Linked DNA regions of Rattus norvegicus. The protein of the gene in region 1 interacts with the protein of each later gene in a pairwise test. Links are inferred from orthologs where the notes say so. Each region holds a gene or a part of one and is shown in the gene's direction. Other genes may lie near its edges.

Region 1 (3,171 bases):
CAAATTAGCCCATTTAGGCTCCAGTTACATCTCTGTTCTTTGAATATTTGCTGAACTCTATCATTCAGTAATTACTTTGGTGGAACAAACGGGAAAGAACAAAAAGGCCTTTGATGGAGAAAACAAAGAAGGCACATCATGTCAGACTGAATGCTATGATGTCAGCACTGTGGAGAGATAATCTGAAATTTTGTCCAATCTAATCTTTGGCTTCTTTTTTAACTTCAAGTATGTATAATTTCCAGATTTCCAAAGAGAACTATTTCTTTGGGAGCATTTATAAATGAATTTATTGGAGCCAGAAATATAGCTTAGTCATTAAGAGCATATGTTTTTCTTCCAGGGGACCCAAGTTTATGTTCTAGCATCTGTATGGAGAATCACAATTGTCTACAGCTCAAGCTTCTGGGAATGTGATGCTTTCTTCTGCCCTCTGTTTTCACCACACATGCATAGTGCACAGACCTACACACAGGGCAAATATCCCTACACATAAAATAAAATAAAACAATGAATTACAAAACACATGGACTTTGCCTTAACAAATTTAGGGAAAACCATAATGATGTGTCTGTATATTAGTTCCACTTTCTTGGAACATTTTTACTTTCGGATTCAAGTGTTGTGTGGATTCTGTCCACAAACAATGTCCTGTTAAACATTACACCAAAATTAAGTCGTCCCTATTAGAGAATTATCATGATTTCAGAAAAAAATAGAATATTTTGCCATTATTTGATTCATCATTACCAGTTCACTACAAATCATTGCTACTATAACATTGTGCTCATGGAGAGAACTTAGGGTCTTTTGCTTTGCAACTTCCTGGGTAATGAGTTACTTGGGCAAAAGCTTTGAAAGCTTCAGATTGGTAACCCATGTTTGCATGATGTTTTTCTCTGGTGGTTTGGTACAGTTTGGCTCGGTAATTCTGAAGAATGCACTTCTGAGAACACTTCTTGTAGCGCCTTGAAGGTATACCTGACATAATTTTTTTTCAAGTTATGCTTCAGTAGTGAAAACACTATCTTACTGTGCTTTCACTTCCCTGTCTGTAGGGTGAAGAAGGGTACCCACAAGAGGGAATCCTGGAAGACATGCCTGTGGACCCTAGCAGTGAGGCTTATGAAATGCCTTCAGAGGTAAATGCTTACAAACAGAAAACCAAGAAAAATACCCTTAGGTATTTTCTTAGGTACCTTCAGAGGTAAATGCCTATGTGCAACACTCAGCCACTATCACATCTCCCTCATATTATGGTTTGGGTAGTTCAATCATAAAAAGGGTTTTGAGAAAATGATTTTAATCTTTGTGGAAGAGAGTAAGGGATATGGCAGGTCAAAGGAAGAACATTTTAGAACATTCTAGCACAAGAGGTTACCAGAAACAAAGGCATATGAAAATGCCTGAGCAACAATGGGCAGTTATGAATCATGTTTAGAAAACATAAAATATGATAGATTAAGGCTGAAGACATAATTAAGGTTATAGACAAACTGTAGAGTCCCAAATTAACTTTGTCATTTAAGTTTATATTGACATTTGAAAAAGAGTTTGATAATAGGTTTAGTTTAACAGTAGAATCCTGATATAATCAATTAATTGAGGAAGTACCATTCCTGTTATGAATGTTACCTAGATTTTGTCCAGGAGGCTCAGGCTTTAGAATAAATGAGCCTGTGTGGAAACCTCTCATGAAGGTGGGGTTTCCTAATGGGGGAGAAAGGAGAAGGATGAGCTCTGGAGGAGGCTTTATGCAGCTCACCTAGGTGTTCACGGCTCACAACGCAGAGCAAAGGAGAAAATCAGAGCCCCAGCCAATTCATACTGCAGCACGAAATCACAGATCAAAGGATATATCTAGAATTAGGCCTAATAATCTGTGATGACCCCTATAACGTACAGATGCTACGTATGGAAAAACCAATACATGTTCATGACAGATAAGCCCCAAACACTGAGCTGAGGATCAATTTTATCTGATTGAAAGGCTGAGCCCTCCCTCCTGTGAAGCAGACAGTTGATAACTGTCACTTCACTGACAAGGCATGCTCTTATTTTTTTCCTGATATTAGGAAGGCTACCAAGACTATGAGCCTGAAGCCTAAGAATGTCGTTGTACCCACTGTCCTAAGATCTGCCCAGGTGTTCTTCCATGGCGTACAAGTGCTCAGTTCCAACGTGCCCAGTCATGACCTTTTCTCAAAGCTGTACAGTGTATTTCAAAGTCTTCCATCAGCAGTGATCGGAGTCCTGTACCTGCCCCTCAGCATCCCGGTGCTCCCCTCTCACTACAGTGAATACATGGTAGCAGGCTCTTGTGTGCTGTGGATATTGTTGTGGCTTCAAACCTAAAATGTTAGAAGAAACTTAAAACACCTAAGTGACTACCACTTATTTCTAACTCTTCACCGTTTTTTGTTGCTGTTCTCAAGAAGTTGTGATTTGCTATAAGACTTTTAGATGTCCTTAATGATTCTTTCTGTCTAAGAAGAATGATGTGCTGTGAAATTTGTTAATATATATTTTAAAATATGTGAGCATGAGACTATGCACCTATAAATATTAATTTATGAATTTTACAGTTTTGTGACGTGTTTTATTAACTTGTGTTTGTATATAAATGGTGGAAATTAAAATAAAATAAAACATTATCTCATTGCAAAACCTTTTTCCTGTTTCACTTTAGTAACAAAATCATGCGTATCAGGAGCATGAACATGAAATAACAGCTGACAAAATGAACTAGAATGTAAAGTCTTAACACTATCTTGAAGAATTGGGAAGTGTTAGAGATGGAACTCTCTCCTGCAGGAGGAATTCTCCAGTGCCATTGCCCACAGCCAGCTTGATATACAGTCCTGCTCAGAGCTGTGGGAGCACTGAGAAACACTTCATTGGAACTGAAAGGTGTGAGGGATAGCGACTACAGCCCTTTTACATATTCATAAGACATATTAGCATATCCAAGGCAGGCTGTGGAAGAACCTGCTTAATTTATTGCATGTACACATGTGTGTGTGTGTGTGTGTGTGTGTGTGTGTGTGTGTGTGTGTGTGTGTGTGTAAGGAAGAACTCAGGAAGTACCTTTCCCATTCCCCATCCCTCCTCCACCTGTTTCTATGAATGTGCTCCCATTCACACCCACCCACTCACACCTCAACACCCTGG
Region 2 (4,074 bases), on another chromosome or scaffold:
CACCAGGAGGCTGAGATCCCAGTAGCTCTCAGTCCACAGAAGCTGAACTGCTGCTATGAGTTCAAGGTCAAGGGCAGCCCAAGTTAAACAGCTACATAACTAGACCCCGTATAAGAAGAATGAACTTGCCTCACCAGCTGAGGATGGGAGTTCCACTCCTGAACACGATTTACTCCTAAAAGTTGTCCTCAGACCTCCAGATAAACATGGTGGCCCATACACACCCACACTCACGTGCACATACCCCAAAATAAAATAAACTTTTGAAAAACTGAGTTACTGCTAGAGTTATCCGGTAGAAAGCCTGACTACCATGCACAAAGCTCTGGGTTTGATCCCCAGCAACACAAAAACTGTGTATAATAGCGAGACAGAAGAGGTGGCTCAGTTGTTAAAGGCTGGGCTCACAAACAAACATATGCTACATAGTTCGAGATGGTGTAAATAAATGTCTTTCTACTGCACTGGCCAGCCAGAGTCGGGGTTTGCATTTTTTTTTTTTTTTGGTTCTTTTTTTCGGAGCTGGGGACCGAACCCAGGGCCTTGCGCTTCCTAGGTAAGCGCTCTACCACTGAGCTAAATCCCCAGCCCCGGGGTTTGCATTTTTAAAAGGATCATTCACTCATTCACTCTAAAGCAAATCTCGTTTCACCATGATTATCACAATGTCAGGATTTTCTCCCCTTAGAGTTTACCTTGCGTATTTTCCTAGTTGGATATTGCCTCCACCCCTAAGGTATAAGTCTTCATAAAAACAGAGACCTTGGGGTTGGGGATTTAGCTCAGTGGTAGAGCGCTTGCCTAGCAAGCGCAAGGCCTGGGTTCGGTCCCCAGCTCCGAAAAAAGGAAAAGAAAAACAAAAAACAAAAACAGAGACCTTGCCTTGCCTCGTTCATAACCGTCTTCAACAATCCAAAGGCTTTCTAGTCTTCAGACTTTTCAAGTAATATCGATACACAGTCAATGAAAGGTCAATGCTGCTGTCTATTTGTAAAGTGAGGGGGGGAAATACACAAGTTGGGAAACCTGTCCGATGTCGGACACCCAGGAAAAAGCACTTTTTCTGTAGTATACAAACGGATAGATGGATGAAGGAACTAGATTGATGGAATGTGAACCATTAGCGTTCCATGCGCCTGCGCTTCCTCAAATCGCTCGCCAGGGGGCGCTGCTCTCCCACGTCTCAACGCCAGTCCCTCCTGGCGCGCACTCCTTTTGCGTCTCGGGCTCGCGCGCGCTGCCGCGGCACCGGAAGTGACTGCGCTTGCAAGTTCCCCCGGTCTCTTCAGGGGAAACTGAGGCCGGCTTCTCCGGGAGATTCGGCACGAGCAGTCAGCCAGGTAGGCCAACCCAAGTCCGCGGCGTACTTCCCAGCCGCAAAACGCCCTCGTATCTGGAAGCCACTGGGCCGATGAAGGGGGGATGTGGCCCCCCACGGCTCGCTGGGCTCTCAGGTGAGGGCGCCGCCTCCCCTGTGCCTGACAGGCGCTTCGCCCAATGGGAGCCTTGGCCGTCCCGCTTCCGTGCCGACTCGACCCGCGGATTGGCTAAGCTGGGGCGGGCCGCGGGGGCGAGACCCCTCCTTCCAGAGAGGTCTAGGGGGCGCCCCTGAGGGAGGGCGGTTGCCTAGCAACGGGGCGGTGGCTCGGCGGGTACCCGGCCTAGGGGAGCGCGAGCAGTAAGCGAGGCCTCAGCCCACCCACCCGGGGCTCCAACGCGTAGCGGCCTCCGGTCCTGGAGCCCTGCAGGGGGCTCCAGGAGGCCGCCTTGGGTCGGGTCTCAAGAAAACGAGGTCTCCGCTGTGGGAGCCTCAACCCTTCTTCCTGGCCAGTGGCGGGGCTCAGCGCCTCCCTCTCACCCCGTCTTTGTGCGGGGTGCCGGCGGCCATTGTGTCCGGGCGCGGAATGGAGGACCTGGCAGTCCCCCAGTGCTATGTCCAGAGCCTTTGGGGAATTCAAAGACAACTAGCGGTGTTTGTGGGGGGTCTCCAGCCTACTCCTCTTGGAAAGGCCCGGGAGTGGTCTTTCCGAAATCAGATCGCAGATCCGAGGCCGTCTCCCCCTCCCCGCGTCCCTGCGCGAAACCTTGAGATTCACTGAGAAGTCCCTTTAGGGTTTCGGAAGCCTCATCCAGGGCTGGTACTTAAATAGAAAGAAAGAAAGGAGGGGTGGGGGGAAATTACACTAAACCCATACCTCCGGGAGAGTTCTCCTGGCTCCCAGTAGGAGGCGAGAGCCAAGGGGCGTGCTAGAGCGAGGGGGTTGGGCTCCCGGGTGGCTGGAGGCTGCGGAGCAGAGAGGCCGCCCTCGATCTGGGCGATGGAGGAAGCAAGCGAGGGGGCAGGTTCCTAAGCTTCGCAATTCCTCTGGCCTGCCTACCAGGTCGCATGATCCCGGCCGGGACCGGGGTTTTTTGCTGAGTTACCGGCGACCCAGCCACCACCTCCTCCCGACCTATGATACAAAAGACCTTCCGGGGGCTGCACCTGCTCTCTGTCGCCGGAGATAGATTTGAATGTAGGTGGTGGTGGTGGGGATGTGCCAATGGGGGTGACTTTTGGAGAAAGGCATTTCGGAGAAAAGGGGGTGGGTGGTTGTAGTAAAAAGAGGCTGATGAAACAATTCAAAGCTTGCTGGTCCTTTCAATTTGACTTCATTGAAGTCTCTTAGAACCTGGACTCAGACCTTCATAAGAGCCACAAAGAAACCAATTCTGGTAACTGGGGGAGGAATGGGGATTTTGTAAGGTAAATGACATGCATATTAAAATTTTCTCCTGAAGCTCTTTCTCTCTCTTCAGAACCCTATCTTGGCTTTGGATCCTGGAAGAGAATCGCTAAACACAGAGCAGACCCAGTGAGTGAGCAGGTGTTTTGGACAATGGACTGGTTGAGCCCATCTCTATTATAAAAATGTCTCAGAGCAACCGGGAGCTGGTGGTTGACTTTCTCTCCTACAAGCTCTCCCAGAAAGGATACAGCTGGAGTCAGTTTAGCGATGTCGAAGAGAACAGGACTGAAGCCCCAGAAGAAACTGAACCAGAAAGGGAGACCCCCAGTGCCATCAATGGCAACCCATCCTGGCACCTGGCGGATAGCCCCGCGGTGAATGGAGCCACTGGCCACAGCAGCAGTTTGGATGCGCGGGAGGTAATCCCCATGGCAGCAGTGAAGCAAGCGCTGAGAGAGGCTGGCGATGAGTTTGAACTGCGGTACCGGAGAGCATTCAGTGATCTAACATCCCAGCTTCATATAACCCCAGGGACAGCATATCAGAGCTTTGAACAGGTAGTGAATGAACTCTTTCGGGATGGGGTAAACTGGGGTCGCATTGTGGCCTTCTTCTCCTTTGGCGGGGCACTGTGCGTGGAAAGCGTAGACAAGGAGATGCAGGTATTGGTGAGTCGGATTGCAAGTTGGATGGCCACCTACCTGAATGACCACCTAGAGCCTTGGATCCAGGAGAACGGCGGCTGGGTAAGAACCACGCCCCTTGTGTGTCCGCCCCTTGTGTGTCTCTCCTCTGTGGAGATCCCTAACTGCCCTTTTTGGTCTCCTGGCATGGTTGTTGAAGATATCGATTATTCAGGAGACATTCCTGGCTTCACTTTAATACCAGGGGTTAACTTTGGGAATATTGATGACCCTGTTTTTAAGGAACCTGTATTTTTCATTCTGGCTACCCTTGTGGCCCCGCAGTTTCATAGTTTTGTTCCAATTTCTCGGCAAAGAAAAACAGCCTGTGTGTTTACTTGGCTTAAAACCTAGGAGAGTAGCAAGTTCTCCCTGTGTTCTGCTCACTCTCACGTAATGGGTCACCTTGGCTGGGGGGAGGAATATAATACCTGGAGGAACTGCAGAGCTGATAACCCCAGGCTCCTGTGTGCTCGCATGCATGCTATTCAGACCATTTGGTCAGGCAGGAGCCCCACTGGCTTGACTGGCTGAATATTGTCTGATTTTAGAGAAGGTGGTCTGAGCCAATTGTGTTTGTGCTGTGCCCCTAAGTTCATTTTCACCATGGTTGGCTTGTTTGGGGAGCCCTTGCTGTGCCCCAGGACTTTGTACCTCACTGC
Region 3 (3,964 bases), on another chromosome or scaffold:
TATATCCATGCTAAGCTAAATTCCCATGACCTGTATCCCTACTAAGCTAAATCTCCCTGAGTATATCCATGCTAAGCTAAATCCCCATGAGTTGTATCCTAACTAAACTGCATAGACAGCCTCTTTATTTTGCCCCCCCCCCCCCTTTTTTTGAGAGGCTTCTTGTAGCCAAGGCTGGCTTTGAACTCCGGAACCTCTGGCCTCCCAAGTACTCAGATCACTTTCTAGTTTGAAACAGCTTCACCAAGCTGCTCAGGCAGACCCTGAACTTGGTATTCTCTTGCCTCAGCATCTCAAACAGCTGGGATAACAAGTCTGTGTCACAGGACTGGCTAAAGCCTGTATTTTAGTTCCTAGTTGGAGGGCAAGTGGTCTGATTCCTTTGTGCTCTTTGAAGCCACTAAGGCCTGAGATACATGCTCCTTCCCCTCCGCCCTTAGAGCCTGTGTGCTGTGGTGTGTGTGTGTGTGTGTGTGTGTGTGTGTGTGTGTGTATTATGTGGGTTGTTGTGAGGAATCTCAGTCTTAGTAGTGGTGACTATTGCAGTTTCTGGAGCCCTGGCTACCCCTCCTACAGGGTGGGTTTGTGAGAAGTCACCAGTGCTAGTCCAACATCCAGTCTTTGTCAAATTGGATCAGGCCTAACATATGGATGATGTCCCTTTATTCAGTGAGGGGCTGGTCATGGTGGATGCCTGAAGAGAGAGTAGGGTGGAGGGCTACTACGGGGGACACTAAGTTTGGGAGGGTTGGAACAGTATCCCGTGAAACAGCTTGTTTGGCCAAGGAATGGCTACCTGACAGTAGGCATCTGTGTCGTCTGAGCCTCTGTGCTGGGGCATCCATCCCCCTTGGCTTGGGGACTACACTGCTGAGTCATAAGCAGGCCCAAACCTGGGAGGAGCCTAGGCTCGGATACTTACCGGCCCTTTTCCCATCGAACTGAGACTGAGGCTGGTCTCTTGGGGTCACCCATGCATTCGGAGGGAAAGAAAAAGAGGAGGCGGTGGGGGCGTCTCGCCCCCATACCTGTCAGGGGTCCTATCAAGGGCCCTCGAGCGGCCGCCCGGACAGCGGGGAGGGGCGGAGCTCAGAGAGGTTCCGCCCCCCACGAGGCGGGGCTCCCCCCGTATCCTATAAAAGCTGGGCTCTCGGAGCCGCCGCTGCCCAGCTGTTTCCTCCGTACCTAGTCTGCGGTTATGGCTTCGCTCACGGTGAAGGCCTATCTACTGGGCAAGGAGGAGGCGGCCCGCGAGATCCGCCGCTTCAGCTTCTGCTTCAGCCCGGAGCCGGAGGCGGAAGCCGCGGCTGGCCCGGGGCCCTGCGAGAGGCTGCTGAGCCGGGTGGCTGTGCTGTTCCCCGCGCTGCGGCCTGGAGGCTTTCAGGCGCACTACCGCGGTAAGGGCTCGGGGCGGGGAAGCCATCCTCCCCCGCCGCGGAGTATCAGGTCTGGGCGAGGACGCGATGGCGTGTCCTCTGGCTGCCCGCGGGGACAGGGTGGTCAGGCGGCCGCTCAGGTTACAGCTGACATCCCGCGGTTCGCTTGCTCCTCGTATCATCAGGTGATGGGTTCAGTTAAAGGCCCGGAAGAGCTGGGACCGGGCAGATGTGGAGGAGGGGTGGAGAGCAGTGACGCGGGTAAATAAGCGGCGGGGGCGGGGTGGGGCAGCCCGTGGGAAGGGAGGTAGGGGACCCCGGAACTAGCTCCGTCTCTTGCGTTGCAGTGGTTGATGGCTGCATGGGGTGGAGCTAGAAGTTGTTGACAAGAGACTAGTGGACAAGGCCCTCCCCCTGGGAGGGGATAAGATTGAGATCTCTTTATGGAGGACTGTGGGTAGGCCAGGTTGGTTGATCAGTCTGTCTCTTTTCTGAGATAAAGCCACGTAGCCTGATTCGCCTTGAATTTACGAGTGGTTTAGGCTGGCCTCACTTCAATCCTCTTGTCTCAGCTTTCCAGTGCAGGAATCATAGGGATTATTCTGGACAAAAAATGTTCAGTGTAAGTGAGTTTTAACCTAGGTCCAGTACAATTCACCCAGGTCTTAATGTCCTTCCGAGTCATCTTTGTGCTAGGGCCTCATGTATGTTAGGCTCTCGACTGACTGAGCTACCACCCCGCCCCCCAAACTCCTTGCATTTTTTAAAAAGTGAGTTATATAACTATTATCACATTCGGTTTAGAATCTTTTTTTTTTTTATAAATTTTACGTGTGTGTGTGTATAGCCTAGCCTGATACACACACACACACACACACACACACACACATATATGTATATATATATATATATCCTAGCCTGCAGATGTGTGGTTTGTCCTGTATGAGGTGGTTGAAGACTGTTTGTACTGACATAGAAATATATGGCTGCGCTCCCAGTACCTGTGTGCTAATGTAAAAATGAAAGCAGATGGGTTTGAGAAATGACTCAGTGGTTAAAGCCTTTGCTGCTCTTCCAGAGGACCCAAGTTCTGTTCCTAGCGCTCATATCAACTGCAGCTCCTGGGGATCCCACACCCTCTTATGGCCTTCGTGGCACATGCATACACATAAGTGTGCATGTGTGTATGTGTGTGTGTGTGTCTGTGTGTTCAAGTGCGTACATACATATGTAAAAGTAAATATCAAAAGGCAAAAAAGAAAAAAAACCCAAAAAAACCCAAACCACTTGGCAGCTTGGTTGCATATGTTTGTGATCCCAGCACTAAGGAGGCTCACCTACACAAGTTGGAGGCTGTCCTGTTCTAAGCAGTCTCAGGCCAGGCAGGGCGCAGAAAACCTAGAATTGACAAAAACAAAACCAACAGAGCAACCTCAACCTCAGAACAACTTAGACAGCGTCTGAATGCACAGTGGTTTCTGGTCACGTAGTTGAAGGGAGGGGACAGATGGGCTTACCTCCTTTCCTTCTGAAGCCTGAGGCCTTTGAAGGGCTGGACCATCAGGACAGGGTACTGGCTGGAATCTCCCAGGTGAAAATGGACCTGGCCTACTTACGTGTGGCCTGAGGGCACAAATGGCCCAGTGGTTTGTGGCAGGAAGCTGGACCCTTACACACATGACATATGCTCTGCCTTGTGCATGTACCGGATCTAGGACTTGGGTTAGAACATGTACTCACGCCATATCAGAATGAGTGGCCATCTGGCTGCTTGCTCCAGCACTCAGATTGCGTCTAGAGCCTCTGTAGATGTCCCTTACCATTGGGCTCCCTGTACATAGCAGTGGGCATCCAGCAGATGCTGGGTACCTGTGCTGCCCTTTCGGCTTCTAGTTCTGGGAATGGCACCTAAGTCTTCTGCACGCTCCACCAATGAGCTGTGTCCCTGGCTCTGATATGTTGTTTCCTAAACAATCTAGATGAGGATGGGGACTTGGTCGCCTTCTCCAGTGATGAGGAACTGACAATGGCCATGTCCTATGTGAAAGATGACATCTTCCGCATCTACATTAAAGGTAAAGACTGCATCCAGGTACTTCCCATCGGACTTCCTCTAAGGCTCAGGGGTCTGAGTTGTCTCTAGGACAGAGATGAGTTCTGATGCCTTGGGGTGGATATAGGGGGGTTGGGAGGTGTCAGAGGTACAAAGGTCCTGCTGTGTGGGCCATGGGTGTTGAACAGAGCAGGGCTTGGTACCTCTTGGCCTCCTAAGTGGTTTACCTGCAACTAAATTGGACTCTTGGACTCTCCCTGCAGAGAAGAAGGAGTGCCGGCGGGAACATCGCCCCCCATGTGCTCAGGAGGCACGAAGCATGGTGCACCCCAACGTGATTTGTGATGGTTGCAATGGGCCTGTGGTGGGAACTCGCTATAAGTGCAGTGTGTGCCCCGACTACGACCTGTGCAGCGTCTGCGAGGGGAAGGGCCTGCACAGGGAGCACAGCAAGCTCATCTTTCCCAACCCCTTTGGCCACCTCTCTGATGTGAGCTGGTTCTCTGCAGTCCTGGGGCGGTGTCGGACAGGGTGG
Region 4 (2,249 bases), on another chromosome or scaffold:
CTCAGGTCTTGGCATCTGGCACAGAGTAGGCCTTCAACGCAGAAGTTACACTGGTGACTGCTCCACAGTTGGTTTGTTCTTTGTTGTGGCCACAGGTCCTCCCCCAAGTACTGTATGTGTGGAGCACCATTGGGAGAACACAGACCCCGGGCTCTCTGCACAGCTTTCACGGGAGCCAGAGCACAGAGATCAATAGGCTAAGCAGGACATCAAGACGTGACCTGGGTGCTCTGGGGCGTCCTGTGGGTGCTGGGTCGAGTGTTCCAGGACTGGGAGGTGGGAGGCTGAGCCAGGCAGGGCCCGGCTTTTGTAGGGAAGATGTCAGAGCCCAGACTTGTGTGGTGCACAGCCTTGTTGGCGCACCTTACTCCCCAGGAGTCTAGGTGTTGCTTCCAGAATGCTCTGCATGGTTTAGGCACTGGCAGGCAGCAGCTGCCGATGCCTTCATGCAGGCTCAGCTGTGGAAGCTCTAGCTGGAGACTGACTGGTGAAGTCTATGATAGCCCTCCCTTATCTCTTCTTTGGAACCTCTTCCAACCTGTCCATCAGCTTCCCACCACACTGCCTGGGTCCCAGCACACAGTATGGTACATGTGGCCCTCTGGTCTGCCTCCCATCTCTAAGGCACACTAGAGAGGCCTTTCTAAGCCTAGAGCACCCGTTTGAAAGCTTTTTTGTGTTTTTCATTATTGTGTGTGTGTGTGTGTGTGTGTGTGTGTATGAGTGTGTGGTTGTGAGCAGCCTGAGGAATACTGGGACCCAACTCAGGTCCTCTGCAACAAGCAATAAGTGTTGGTGTTATTTTGTATTTGTGTGACAGGGTTTCTCTATGTAGCCCCTGGCTGTCCTGGAACTCATTCTATAAACCAGGCAGGCCTCAAACTCCAGAGATCCACCTGCCTCTGCCTCTGGAGTTCTGGGATTAAAGGTGTGCACTGTTAAAGAGGTTCTTAGTGAACCCCAGAGGTCCCTTTCTGTCCCCCTGCCCTTGCTGTCACAGCTGCAGCCCAAGGCAGTGTTCATAGGCAGTTGTCCACTCCTGTCTCCCTCCCTCACTGTGTGGAGCATGGTCTCCTCGCTCTGGCTCAAACAGGCCCCATGAACATGTAGTAATCACTCCGTTACTACTCAGTATGACATGGCGTCTGTCTGTCTTTCACAGGTGGCTTCTGGCACAGCAGCCTCATTGACCGGAACCTCATAGACTATTTTGTCCCCTTCCTGCCCCTGGAGTACAAGCACCTGAAAATGTGCATCAGAGTTGAGATGCAGTCCCGTGGCTATGAAGAAGATGAGGACATAATCAATAAGGTAGCTGAAGAGATGACGTTCTTCCCCAAGGAGGAGAAGGTCTTCTCTGACAAGGGCTGCAAGACTGTGTTCACCAAGCTGGACTACTACCTGGATGACTGAGCCCTGCTGCCAGGTGCTCTGTAGTCCGCTCCTCTCCCCACAAGAGGCTTGGACACTTCCTGCTGAGGCTAGCGGGGATCCCATCAGGGGCGGTTTCTGCTCTTTGGAGCCTGCAGGTGGCCATGATGTAGGGACCACAGATGCAACATGGACCTAAAGCTCCTGGAGCCTCCAAAGGACGAAACCAGCTTCCAGCCTGCCCATTCTGGGCTCATGATTTTTTTAAAATTATGTTTTAATTTCAAGTGTTTCTGTTTTGAGGCAGGACAAGTGAGTTTTACTGCAAATGTGATAACTTTATTTAAAATGGTTTTTAATACTATGAGAAGCCTTTCAGCTGTTGGCTGTGTGTGTCTTTTCAAACTGTTGGGTAACATCACCAAGCACGGACATCTGTGGCATGGAATGGTAGGTATCTCAGGAACCAGGGGGCTGAAGGGCCCTGAGGGGCCATGAGTGGTTAGATGAGACTGCACCACAGATGTGCCTGGACTCCTTAGGAATAAGACAAGTGAGCTTAATGGTCCTGCGTGACGGTCAGGGCCACTCCAGATGCCATGCACAACAGGGCTCTGGATAGGTGTGTTTTATGCAATTCATGGGCACCTGCCAGAGCTGGGCTGGACTTCTGTAGCTGTGGTTGTCACTCACAGCCCTCACAGGGCTGGGTTTAGCAGAGAAAAAAGAACCTAATGTCAAAGCTAGGCCAACTGCTGGCAGGACCACACTCTGCCTCTGCTAACAGCCTGTTCAAGGCCCCTTTTCAAGTGGCCCAGGGCTTCCAGCAATGGTTCCTCGTCCCCAGGAGTCATGTCAGGTCTGACCACTCACCTGAA
Region 5 (3,500 bases), on another chromosome or scaffold:
GTAGGATCTCACCGGAAACATCTAAACTCACATTGAAGCTCCACTCAATGTTTTACATGAAAGGAAAGAGAGGCCTTGGGCTCATGACAGAACCAAAAGTGGAGTGCGTATGGTAAAAGCCAGTGGCAGTAGGTGGAGCTTCCTAGACCTCATGCTCTGGTGGTAGGCAGAGGAGAGCACAAGGCATCGTATAAAGCTTCTCTGTAGCGCTTGCTCTTTGACTTGAGCAAAGCTGCTTTGTGCATCCTTGTTCCTAGCAGTATTCAAGTGCTCTCAGCTTTTTTCTGACCATCTTTTTGTGACTGTTGTGTATGCTCTTAGATAAAATACTTGGTCTTTGTCCCATTCTTCAAAAGTAGAGAGTGTTTAGAATTGACTGCTTTCAGGTCTAATATCTGAAGGCATCCTTCAGTTCTTCCCTCATTTGGAGTTCTGGGCTATTCGGTGGCGTGATTGCTGTTTTCTTCTAGACAGGGTCTTAGTATGTAGCCCAAGGTGTGAACATTCTGATCCTAGAGCTCTACCTCATAAGCATATCACCACACCTGACTGGTTTCTTAATGTTGGATTTGTCCTGGTTTTTTGTTTGTTTTGTTTTTTTTCTTTTATTCCCTCTCCTACCAGTTGGTGTTTTCAAAATCTGAATGACTCTCCAAGAAGTTGTCATTGTGTTTGCTTTTCTCCCATCGATATTGGAAAAAGGAAACGCTTTTTTTCTCTCTTCTACAAGCCATGGCAGTTCTTTCTCCTTAGTTCCTCAGCATTTGATTCCAGCCTCACTGGTGCAACTGTGGCATCCGGCTGGCTTCTCTGGACCTGTCTTACCTGATGTTTTCTCTTTCCATGGATGCTGATGTTATGAAATCAACTACCTCACTTGCTGCCACTGCTTGTTTGACTCCTGTCAGCTTGCTCTTTGTCACGTGCTAACTGTGTCTAGCTTAATTACAAGTGGACATCACACTCGAGGGCAGACATTGCCAATATCGTCTGAACCCCTTGAACACCCACAGACATAATCTGCTAAACACCTGTCGAGTTGAATAGAAGTGATATGATACAGTAGCATGGGTTGAAGTGCTGTGTTTGGTTTCTTTTCCAGTGGGCATCCCTACCATCAGATGGTGTGGGGCTGAGGGGGACTACAATGTCATGGTGATGGAGCTACTGGGACCCAGCCTGGAAGACCTATTCAACTTCTGTTCAAGGAAGTTTAGTCTCAAAACTGTTCTGTTGCTTGCTGACCAAATGGTAAGCAATACCCCTTTTCCTGAAGTGTTCAGGCAGTGTAGCAAGCACTTGGCATGTGCTTGCTGGCTTACTAGAGTAAATTACTGGGTTACATTGGCAATGGTGGCTTGCAATCCCAGCACTCAGGAGGCAGAGGCAGACAGATGTTTATGAGTTTGTGGCCAGCCTAGTCTACACAGCAAGTTCTAGGCCCATAAGGGCTACATAGTGAAACCCCATCTCAAAAAACTAAACAAATTACTAGGTTGCCATATCTCCATTATTACATCCATTTGTGCATAGAAAGAAAGGGGGATTTGTTTAATCTTGGCCTCAAGATGATTGAATTAGAAAATAACTTCTCACGGGGTTGGGGATTTAGCTCAGTGGTAGAGCGCTTGCCTAGCAAACGCAAGGCCCTGGGTTCGGTCCCCAGCTTCAAAAAAAAGAAAAAGAAAAAGAAAAAGAAAAAAAAAAAAAAAAGAAAGTAACTTCTCTCCCCCCTCCTCCCTGTATCCATATCGAATGGACTTTCAGTTCTCTCAGGGAGTCCACATTTGGTAGCAACACTTGAATGGTTTTCATGAAAATTCTTGTTTATGACTCATTCAAAGTCCATCTGATGTGAACCATAACCAAGCAGCTTGCTGTCTTACCTATTCCTCTGGGAACTAAAGAGAAAAAAAATGTCTGGGCCTGTCGAGGGACAGAGAGTTGAGGATACCTTGAGAGAAGACTACCTTAACTGAAATCACTGCTCTCCAGAAAGTAGAGAAGAGAATGTGTAATGGGAGCCTCACTGCCAGGCAGCCTCCTTTTCCAGCATGAACCACTATGAGATTCAGTCTTACCTTTGTTTCTCTGTAGATAAGTCGTATTGAGTACATTCATTCGAAGAATTTTATCCACCGAGACGTGAAACCAGATAACTTCCTCATGGGGCTGGGAAAGAAAGGCAACCTGGTCTACATCATTGACTTTGGGCTGGCCAAGAAGTATCGGGATGCCCGCACCCACCAGCATATCCCCTATCGAGAGAACAAGAACCTCACAGGGACAGCACGCTATGCCTCCATCAACACACACCTTGGCATTGGTGAGCCCTGACAGAGATGGATCACTTGACGTTGTGTACCTTTAGCATGTCCATCCCTTAGATTAGGGAAAGTCCAACTTATGTAGCAGCCTAGGTGATGAGAGATGTGGAAGCTGTTAGCCAACCTTGGTAGCAGACAAGCAGAATTGAGCAACCAGAATCTCTGTATTGCCAAGTACAGTGGGGTAGCAGAAGCTGGCTTCTCCAGCAGTTCTTCAAGATGTTGATGTTGCTCCCCTGAAGTCTTAAGGGGGGGTTTCTTTAACAAATGTGAGGGACAACTTCTGGTGACATAATTCTGCAAGTATATTTTTCTGTTATTTTTGAAGTTTCTAATTTTTTGTTTGCCAGGTATTGATTTTATACACACACACATGCCATCCTTGACATAGTTCCCTTTTTCTTCCAGAACAATCTCGAAGGGATGACTTGGAGTCTCTGGGGTACGTGCTGATGTACTTCAACCTGGGCTCTCTCCCCTGGCAGGGGCTGAAGGCCGCCACCAAGAGGCAGAAGTATGAGAGGATCAGTGAGAAGAAGATGTCCACTCCAATTGAAGTGCTGTGCAAGGGCTATCCTTGTGAGTCCCTCACATCCTTGCTGCAGAATTTGCTGGGGCATGCCAGCAGCCACCTGTCCCAGTGCTGACTAGATGCTCATATGGAGAGCCTCTGGCTGTGCTGTCAGACTTGCTCACCTTCTGAGAAGAGTTACATGAAATGGGCACTTATATGAAGGTGGCAGTGGGACCTGCCACCACCACCACGTCATCCCACTCCCAATCCCTAAGCACTTTGGTCAAGGTATTCTGTGGGGCCCAGAAGAGACTGGAATGAGGCAGGACTGAGCCTTGGGAAATGACCCCCATGACTGGGGAAGGAACACAGTAGTGGGAGGCCTAAGGACATCTAAAACTGACCATCTTTACCCTCACCTCCTAGAGCCATTTCCGAGGGAGTTTTCCTGTTGAGGGAAATTGCTCCTGGGATAAGAATGCCCTCAATGTCTAAATTTTGCTCTGGTGTCTGACCCTTTGGAGGATGTGGAGGGTGCAGGATATGGAATCCAGGGCCTCACACGTGCTGTGCAAGCCTTGACACATTCTACCATTGAACTGTACCTTTGCTTACATGCTGAATTTATTTTCCAAGCAGTCTCCCTAAGGCCTGAGTTC
Region 6 (2,267 bases), on another chromosome or scaffold:
GTAAGTGCCATTGTCAGCTATTGCTGGTCCTGTGACCTCAGGGCCTAGTGTGATGGGGGCGGGTTCATCAGACTTCACAACACGATGGCAATAGAAGATGTCTCCTGAAGTCTTCCATTGCATTGTAGTAAAGACAAGGCCTACAGTGGCTCACAGCTCTGAACAGGTCCCAAGTGTTGTGGCATTGGGAAGGCCATGCCTTTCACTATGTATGTGGCATTGTCCCAGCCATTACAGAAACTACTTCTGCAGAGATGGCAGAGAGATGCTCACAGCAAACTAAGCAGCCAAGAGCTAACTGTAACTTCACCACTGCTGCTGTGTTACTGTGCATAAGTGTGTGTGTATCTATATGTGACACTCCTCCAAGTTTTGTCTTAGCAGGGCAGCATCCATTTTTGTTGTTTTAGAGCCAGAGGTGCGATGTAGTATGTGGACTTGGTTTCCTGTCTCCTTCCAGGTCCAGGGAGTTGGCAGTAAGGGATGGCGTGATGTCACGACCTTTTTTTCTGGGAAAGCTGAAGACACTTCAGACAGGTAGTCCATGTCCTCACCCCAGGCCCTGGGTCCCTTGGGCTCCCTGAGGTGGCCTGGCCCCTCATCCTATGCCCAGTGCTGCACACGGTTCTTTACTAGAGGCACAGTGACTGCCCTCTCACCCCACCCCAGGACCCCTATCATGGACAAAAGCTTGTATCTTTTTTCCCAACACCCTACAGTTTGAGTGATGAATGGGAATGAGGTAGCAAGAGACAATCCCTTCCGAAAGTTCTGTGTCCTCAACACCAGGTTGGAGCCTTATCAAGGCAAGTCAGCTCTCAAAGGAAAAGGTCCCTCACCTGTAGGGTGCTCTGACTCTACGGGGTGGCTAGGAAGCACTTGGAAAGGCATGGGCCTCTTCCTAGCCAGGAAGAAAGCATAGAGCTGTTGCAGGCCTTGGCCACACCTTGGTCAAATGTAGGCTGGGCTTGTAAAGCAATGAATGGGTCTTGTTCTAGAGAGCCGTTGGGACCTGAGCAGATTGGGCAGCGTGGGGATACAGGAAGCACAAAGTATCTTTCTGTGACAACTCGTGAGATTTTGTCCCTCTCTGTAATAGACCCTTAGAGGGCCACAGCTACCAGAACAGCAGTGGAGACAACTCTCAGAACAGCACCATAGACCAGAGCTTCTGGGAGACCTTCGGGAGTGCTGAGCCCCCCAAGGCCAAGTCCCCAAGCAGTGACAGCTGGACCTGCGCAGATGCCTCAACGGGAAGGAGGAGCTCGGACAGCTGGGACATTTGGGGCTCAGGTTCTGCATCCAACAACAAGAACAGCAATAGCGATGGCTGGGAGAGCTGGGAGGGAGCCAGTGGGGAGGGAAGGGCAAAGGCTACCAAGAAGGCAGCTCCATCTACAGCCGCCGACGAGGGCTGGGACAACCAGAACTGGTAGGAGCCTTGCTGCACCCTAACCCAGCCCTGCTGGGAGACCGCTGTGTTTGCACTTTACCCTTGTTCCTCCTTCATTTGACCTCAGTGTGAAGACAGTGGCTCAGGCAGGACTTGAGTTGGTGCTGCCTGCCTGGTGTGGGGTGGCTTTCTCTTAGACCTCAGGGGACATGTCATCCACCTGCCTCTTGGGTCCTCTGAGCAGCCTTCCTGGATTCTGGGTTCTTGGGACCCAGGCACTGTCTCTGCAGCCCTAGCATAGCCTGGGACTGCAGCCCTGTGCAATGTCAGCTAAGCCAGACATCTGCTTTCGTTGAAATGTCTTTTTAAACTTGAAAGGTCTGCTAGTTCTTTCTTCTTGAAGAAAGTGCCTGGAGCCTTAAAGCTGGAAATGAAACGACAAAAGCAATACTGGAGCTCACACTGCCACCGACACCCTCACCTAAGTCCACAACCTGTGGCTTGTGCTGTGAAACTCACTTTGTGACCCTCTGCCTTTCCTGCATCAGCCTGTCCAGCCCTCAGTTAAATGGGACAAACTCTCCACAATGGCCACACAAAGCAGACTGGGCTCTGGTCTTTCTCGGACACCCAATTTGAACTTGGCCAGCCCTGGACAGCTCAGTAATGAGGAAAGGAGAGTAAGGGGTCTGGGACCGTTTTCAGTGTATCCGCCACCCCCACACGGTCCAAGGGAGCCTGAGCATGGAGGGTGGACTGAGGGGCCACCTGCCACTGCCAGGGTCAGGCATTTTAATGGGCACCTGTTAGCATTTGCCATGTATTGTGTCTGTGACAGCCCAGGCCTTCTCCCAGCCTGCTCAGGCTGCTCAGA
Region 7 (3,500 bases), on another chromosome or scaffold:
GACAAGTGATTCTGTTTATTTGAGGGATTTCTTTGCTTATATGAAAAAGTAAGAAGGCAAAAAATAAAAGTGAAAAGAAAAAACAGTAACTTTGTTCTAATGTTAACATAAAATACCTTTAATAAGCATGCTGCATAAGTCATTATTAAGAAGTTCTCAGTTACATTCTCCTTTCTGTTTTGCACACACTATTTTCAAGAAATGTTAGGATTACGTCTCACAATATTGCTGGAGCAGCTAAAGCACCTCTCGGTGCTCACATTCTAGGTATATGGCAGCTTTCTTAATCAGACGTGGTGCTGGGGAGATGGCTCAGTCAGTAAAGAGCCTGTTGTGTAAGGATGAGGATCTGAGTTCAGGGCCCCAACAGCCACATGAAAGCCAAGTGTAGCATCACACACCTGGAATCCTGGAACCGGGGAGGCCAGAGTAAGGGAATCATGAGCCTGTTTCAGAAAGTAAGATGGGGGGCCAACAAGATGGCTCAGTAGTTAAAAATGACTTGAGTTTGAACCCTAGGACCTATGTGGTAGAAGGGGAGAACTGACTCCTGCAGGCTGTCTTCTCACTCTCCCTACCAAGTAAATACAATTAATAATAGCTTTAAAATGTATAACAGGGATAAGAATAAAGAAGTAGGGCTGGTGAGATGCTTTAGTGGGTACAGGCATTCATGCATGGGCCTGATGACCTGAGGTCAGCGTCAGTCACTGAACCCTGCAACGTGGGAGAAAAGGCCCAACTTCCGAGAGTTGTCTTTTGACCTCCACACTTGACTCTGCATTCACACTCACATGCGGTGTACACACACAAAATAAGTAAGTATGTTGGGGCTGGAGAGATGGCTCAGCGTTAAGAGTACTGGTTGCGCTTCCAGAGGACTTGAGTTCAATTCCCAACACCAACATGGCAGCTCACAACTGCCTATATATAATTCCAGTTCCAGGGGTCTGACACACTCACACAGACTCTTACACTCAGGCAAAACACCAATGCACATAAAATAAAAATAAATATTAAAAATAAAGGAAGAAAAATGTTTAAGTATTAAAGAATGAGTAGTAGACTGGCTATGATAAAGTTTATTTAATTCATTTACTCATTTTGTTTATAGGTCTATGTACTTAAGTATATGTATATGAATTACAACTTAAATATGAATGGCAATGTAAAATAGGATTTTATTAAACGAAAGAGAAACATGGTCAGATTTGTTTTACAATGGATGAGTGACAGGTTAAGGCTCTTGCCAAATAAACCCGGTGACTTGAATTCAATTCCTAGAAGGTGTTCCATAAAGGTGGGAGAAAATTATCTTTTAATTTTCACACTTATGCTGGGCACATCAGATATGTAGCTGGAAATGGTGGAGGCTTTTCTGGAGTTTTGGAGTTAGGCAGTAGGCTTCCTGGTAGTCTCAAAGCTGGTAAAGCTGAAAGGAATCTCATCAGGCAGCAGAAAGCTGTGGGAAGAACATGGCCTTGAACTGCCATGGTTTTATAGAGCTGTGTGGAGAGTGAGGGGACGCTCTGTATCGTGGGCATCATACATTCATCTTTGGCCATGCTGGATGTGAGGTATTGTGTGGCACTTCTGTGGAGATGGGGAGGGTAGATGGGTGTGTCAGTATGGAGCTTCAGACTCGTCTGTCCAGTCTTGGTTCTGTGGTCAATCATTAAGACATGTAACTCTTGTGAGCCCAGAACACATGATTGCAAACGGAAACTAAAGTAATACTCCTAAATTTTGCTGAAGCAAAATTTGTAGGTTTGGGGCCAACTTAGCCTATGTGTAAGAACTTGTCTCAAAAACAACACAAAAAGCAAATTTTGTTCTATTTGTGTTTCTCCAGGTTGATCGTACAAAAAAACCAGCAGTTAAGTTGCCTGAAGATCATAGAATGAAATCTGAAAGTACAGATCAGAGTGGAAGAGTTCTTTCTGACCGATCCACCAAGCCAGTATTTACCTCTCCAGCCACCATGCTAACAGATGAAGAAAAGGCTCGCATTCATGAAGAAACAGCCCTTCTTATGGAAAAGAATAGACAGGAGAAGGAACTGTGGGAAAGGCAGCAGAAGGAACAGAAAGAGAAGCTGAGAAGGGAGGAACAAGAGCGCAAAGCTGGAAAGACCCAGGATGCAGAAGAACGGGACTTCACTGAGAATCAGCACAAAGCAAAGGATGGACAAGAGAAGAGAGACAGCAAACAGACCAAGGCAGAAGACAGAGAGCCCCCAGCAGATGGGGCCCAGGACGCCACAGGAACGCAAAGACAAAGTAAGAGTGAACACGATGCTTCCGATGCTAAGGTATCTGTGGAAGGTAAAAGGTGTCCCATGTCAGAAGTGCAGAAGAGGCCAGCAGATGTGTCGTCTGCATCCTCCATGTCGGGAGAGCTGAGTGCAGGCAAGGTAGGTAAAACAAACAGTAAATGTGTATAAGATGATGACACAGGGATTAGGGGGATGTTTGCCCAGAAACCGGGAAAGGGAATAACACTCGAAATGTATATAAGAAATACTCAAGTTAATAATAATAATAATAATAATAATAATAATAATAATAATAATAAGGTTTTAGAGCTGGAGAGGTGGCTTAGAGGCTAAGAGCACTGACTGCTCTTGCAAAGGTCCTGAGTTCAATTCCCAGCAACCACATGGTGTCTCACAGCCATCTGTAATAGGTTCAGATATCCTCTTCTGATGTGTCTGAAGACAGCAACAGTGTACTCATATACATAAAATAAATAAATAAATCTTTTTTAAAAAAGGTTTTAGTTAATAAATAGACCTTGCATTTTGAGTAGTATGTAACGCCAGTAGAGTCTGAGAGCATAGTGAATACACATGAAAAATTAACGTTTTACACCGCATTGTAAACCAGCGCTTCACATTCTGTTGAGCTTTATTTCCTTCACTGACTCATTTTTCTCTTTAGGGGTATGAAATTCCCAGTGAGCTCAGTGTTAACCTTGGCAATAAAATACACCTTTCAGAGAGACTTCAAAGTTTTCTTTTTGTTTTTATTTTCAGTCTGATAGGTTTAATAATAGTTTAATTTAGGTATTTACATATTATAAAATTTACTTGTTTTTAACATGCAGTTAGTCAGTGACTTAAAAATTTACAGACTTGGGGCTGGGGATTTAGCTCAGTGGTAGAGCGCTTACCTAGGAAGCGCAAGGCCCTGGGTTCTGTCCCCAGCTCCGAAAAAAAAGAAAAAAGAAAAAAAAAATTTAGACTTTTTTTTTAATGTGTATGGATGTTTGCCTGAATGTATGTCAGTTCCTCTGAGGAGGGCAGAAGAGCACGTGTCTTGGGAACCCACATCCTCTGGAAGAGCAGCCTGTGCTCTTATCCTCTGAGCCATGTCTCCAGCCCCTTACCCAGCAGAGCTCCCATGTTCATGCTGTAGCATGTATTGGCAGCCTGTTTCTCCATGTGGCTAAGTATTATAGGCTCTGCACACACACACATGTCAGTTTGCATTGTTTAGACA

What was found.
Region 2: the proteins of Snca (region 1) and Bcl2l1 interact in binary tests that used the Homo sapiens proteins (3 or more experiments, as listed by UniProt). The link is inferred for Rattus norvegicus from reciprocal best matches to the Homo sapiens genes SNCA and BCL2L1.
Region 3: the proteins of Snca (region 1) and Sqstm1 interact in binary tests that used the Homo sapiens proteins (3 or more experiments, as listed by UniProt). The link is inferred for Rattus norvegicus from reciprocal best matches to the Homo sapiens genes SNCA and SQSTM1.
Region 4: the proteins of Snca (region 1) and Tor1a interact in a two-hybrid assay, tested with the Homo sapiens proteins (2 studies listed by BioGRID, with this or other methods). The link is inferred for Rattus norvegicus from reciprocal best matches to the Homo sapiens genes SNCA and TOR1A.
Region 5: the proteins of Snca (region 1) and Csnk1d interact in binary tests that used the Homo sapiens proteins (3 or more experiments, as listed by UniProt). The link is inferred for Rattus norvegicus from reciprocal best matches to the Homo sapiens genes SNCA and CSNK1D.
Region 6: the proteins of Snca (region 1) and Arfgap1 interact in binary tests that used the Homo sapiens proteins (3 or more experiments, as listed by UniProt). The link is inferred for Rattus norvegicus from reciprocal best matches to the Homo sapiens genes SNCA and ARFGAP1.
Region 7: the proteins of Snca (region 1) and Usp8 interact in a two-hybrid assay, tested with the Homo sapiens proteins (2 studies listed by BioGRID, with this or other methods). The link is inferred for Rattus norvegicus from reciprocal best matches to the Homo sapiens genes SNCA and USP8.

What each region holds. Positions count from the first base shown.
Region 1 is NC_086022.1:91,025,974-91,029,144, reverse strand, and holds the end of Snca (alpha-synuclein), read left to right. Parts: intron 1-1,058; coding exon 1,059-1,142; intron 1,143-2,075; coding exon 2,076-2,108; 3' UTR 2,109-2,671; downstream 2,672-3,171. UniProt on the Homo sapiens protein: Neuronal protein that plays several roles in synaptic activity such as regulation of synaptic vesicle trafficking and subsequent neurotransmitter release.
Region 2 is NC_086021.1:161,761,976-161,766,049, reverse strand, and holds the start of Bcl2l1 (bcl-2-like protein 1), read left to right. Parts: upstream 1-1,274; 5' UTR 1,275-1,340; exon of another isoform or gene 1,341-2,715; intron 2,716-2,781; exon of another isoform or gene 2,782-2,799; 5' UTR 2,800-2,911; coding exon 2,912-3,475; coding exon of another isoform or gene 3,476-3,766; exon of another isoform or gene 3,767-4,074. UniProt on the Homo sapiens protein: Potent inhibitor of cell death. Inhibits activation of caspases. Appears to regulate cell death by blocking the voltage-dependent anion channel (VDAC) by binding to it and preventing the release of the caspase activator, CYC1, from the mitochondrial membrane.
Region 3 is NC_086028.1:35,034,951-35,038,914, reverse strand, and holds the start of Sqstm1 (sequestosome-1), read left to right. Parts: upstream 1-1,164; 5' UTR 1,165-1,198; coding exon 1,199-1,397; intron 1,398-3,355; coding exon 3,356-3,451; intron 3,452-3,692; coding exon 3,693-3,919; intron 3,920-3,964. UniProt on the Homo sapiens protein: Molecular adapter required for selective macroautophagy (aggrephagy) by acting as a bridge between polyubiquitinated proteins and autophagosomes.
Region 4 is NC_086021.1:34,647,921-34,650,169, reverse strand, and holds the end of Tor1a (torsin-1A precursor), read left to right. Parts: intron 1-1,162; coding exon 1,163-1,413; 3' UTR 1,414-1,749; downstream 1,750-2,249. UniProt on the Homo sapiens protein: Protein with chaperone functions important for the control of protein folding, processing, stability and localization as well as for the reduction of misfolded protein aggregates.
Region 5 is NC_086028.1:106,734,189-106,737,688, reverse strand, and holds part of Csnk1d (casein kinase I isoform delta), read left to right. Parts: exon of another isoform or gene 1-1,102; coding exon 1,103-1,251; exon of another isoform or gene 1,252-2,097; coding exon 2,098-2,326; exon of another isoform or gene 2,327-2,735; coding exon 2,736-2,906; exon of another isoform or gene 2,907-3,500. UniProt on the Homo sapiens protein: Essential serine/threonine-protein kinase that regulates diverse cellular growth and survival processes including Wnt signaling, DNA repair and circadian rhythms. It can phosphorylate a large number of proteins.
Region 6 is NC_086021.1:188,474,476-188,476,742, forward strand, and holds the end of Arfgap1 (ADP-ribosylation factor GTPase-activating protein 1), read left to right. Parts: intron 1-460; coding exon 461-537; intron 538-719; exon of another isoform or gene 720-806; intron 807-1,099; coding exon 1,100-1,436; 3' UTR 1,437-1,767; downstream 1,768-2,267. UniProt on the Homo sapiens protein: GTPase-activating protein (GAP) for the ADP ribosylation factor 1 (ARF1). Involved in membrane trafficking and /or vesicle transport.
Region 7 is NC_086021.1:134,446,526-134,450,025, forward strand, and holds part of Usp8 (ubiquitin carboxyl-terminal hydrolase 8), read left to right. Parts: intron 1-1,852; coding exon 1,853-2,413; intron 2,414-3,500. UniProt on the Homo sapiens protein: Hydrolase that can remove conjugated ubiquitin from proteins and therefore plays an important regulatory role at the level of protein turnover by preventing degradation. Converts both 'Lys-48' an 'Lys-63'-linked ubiquitin chains.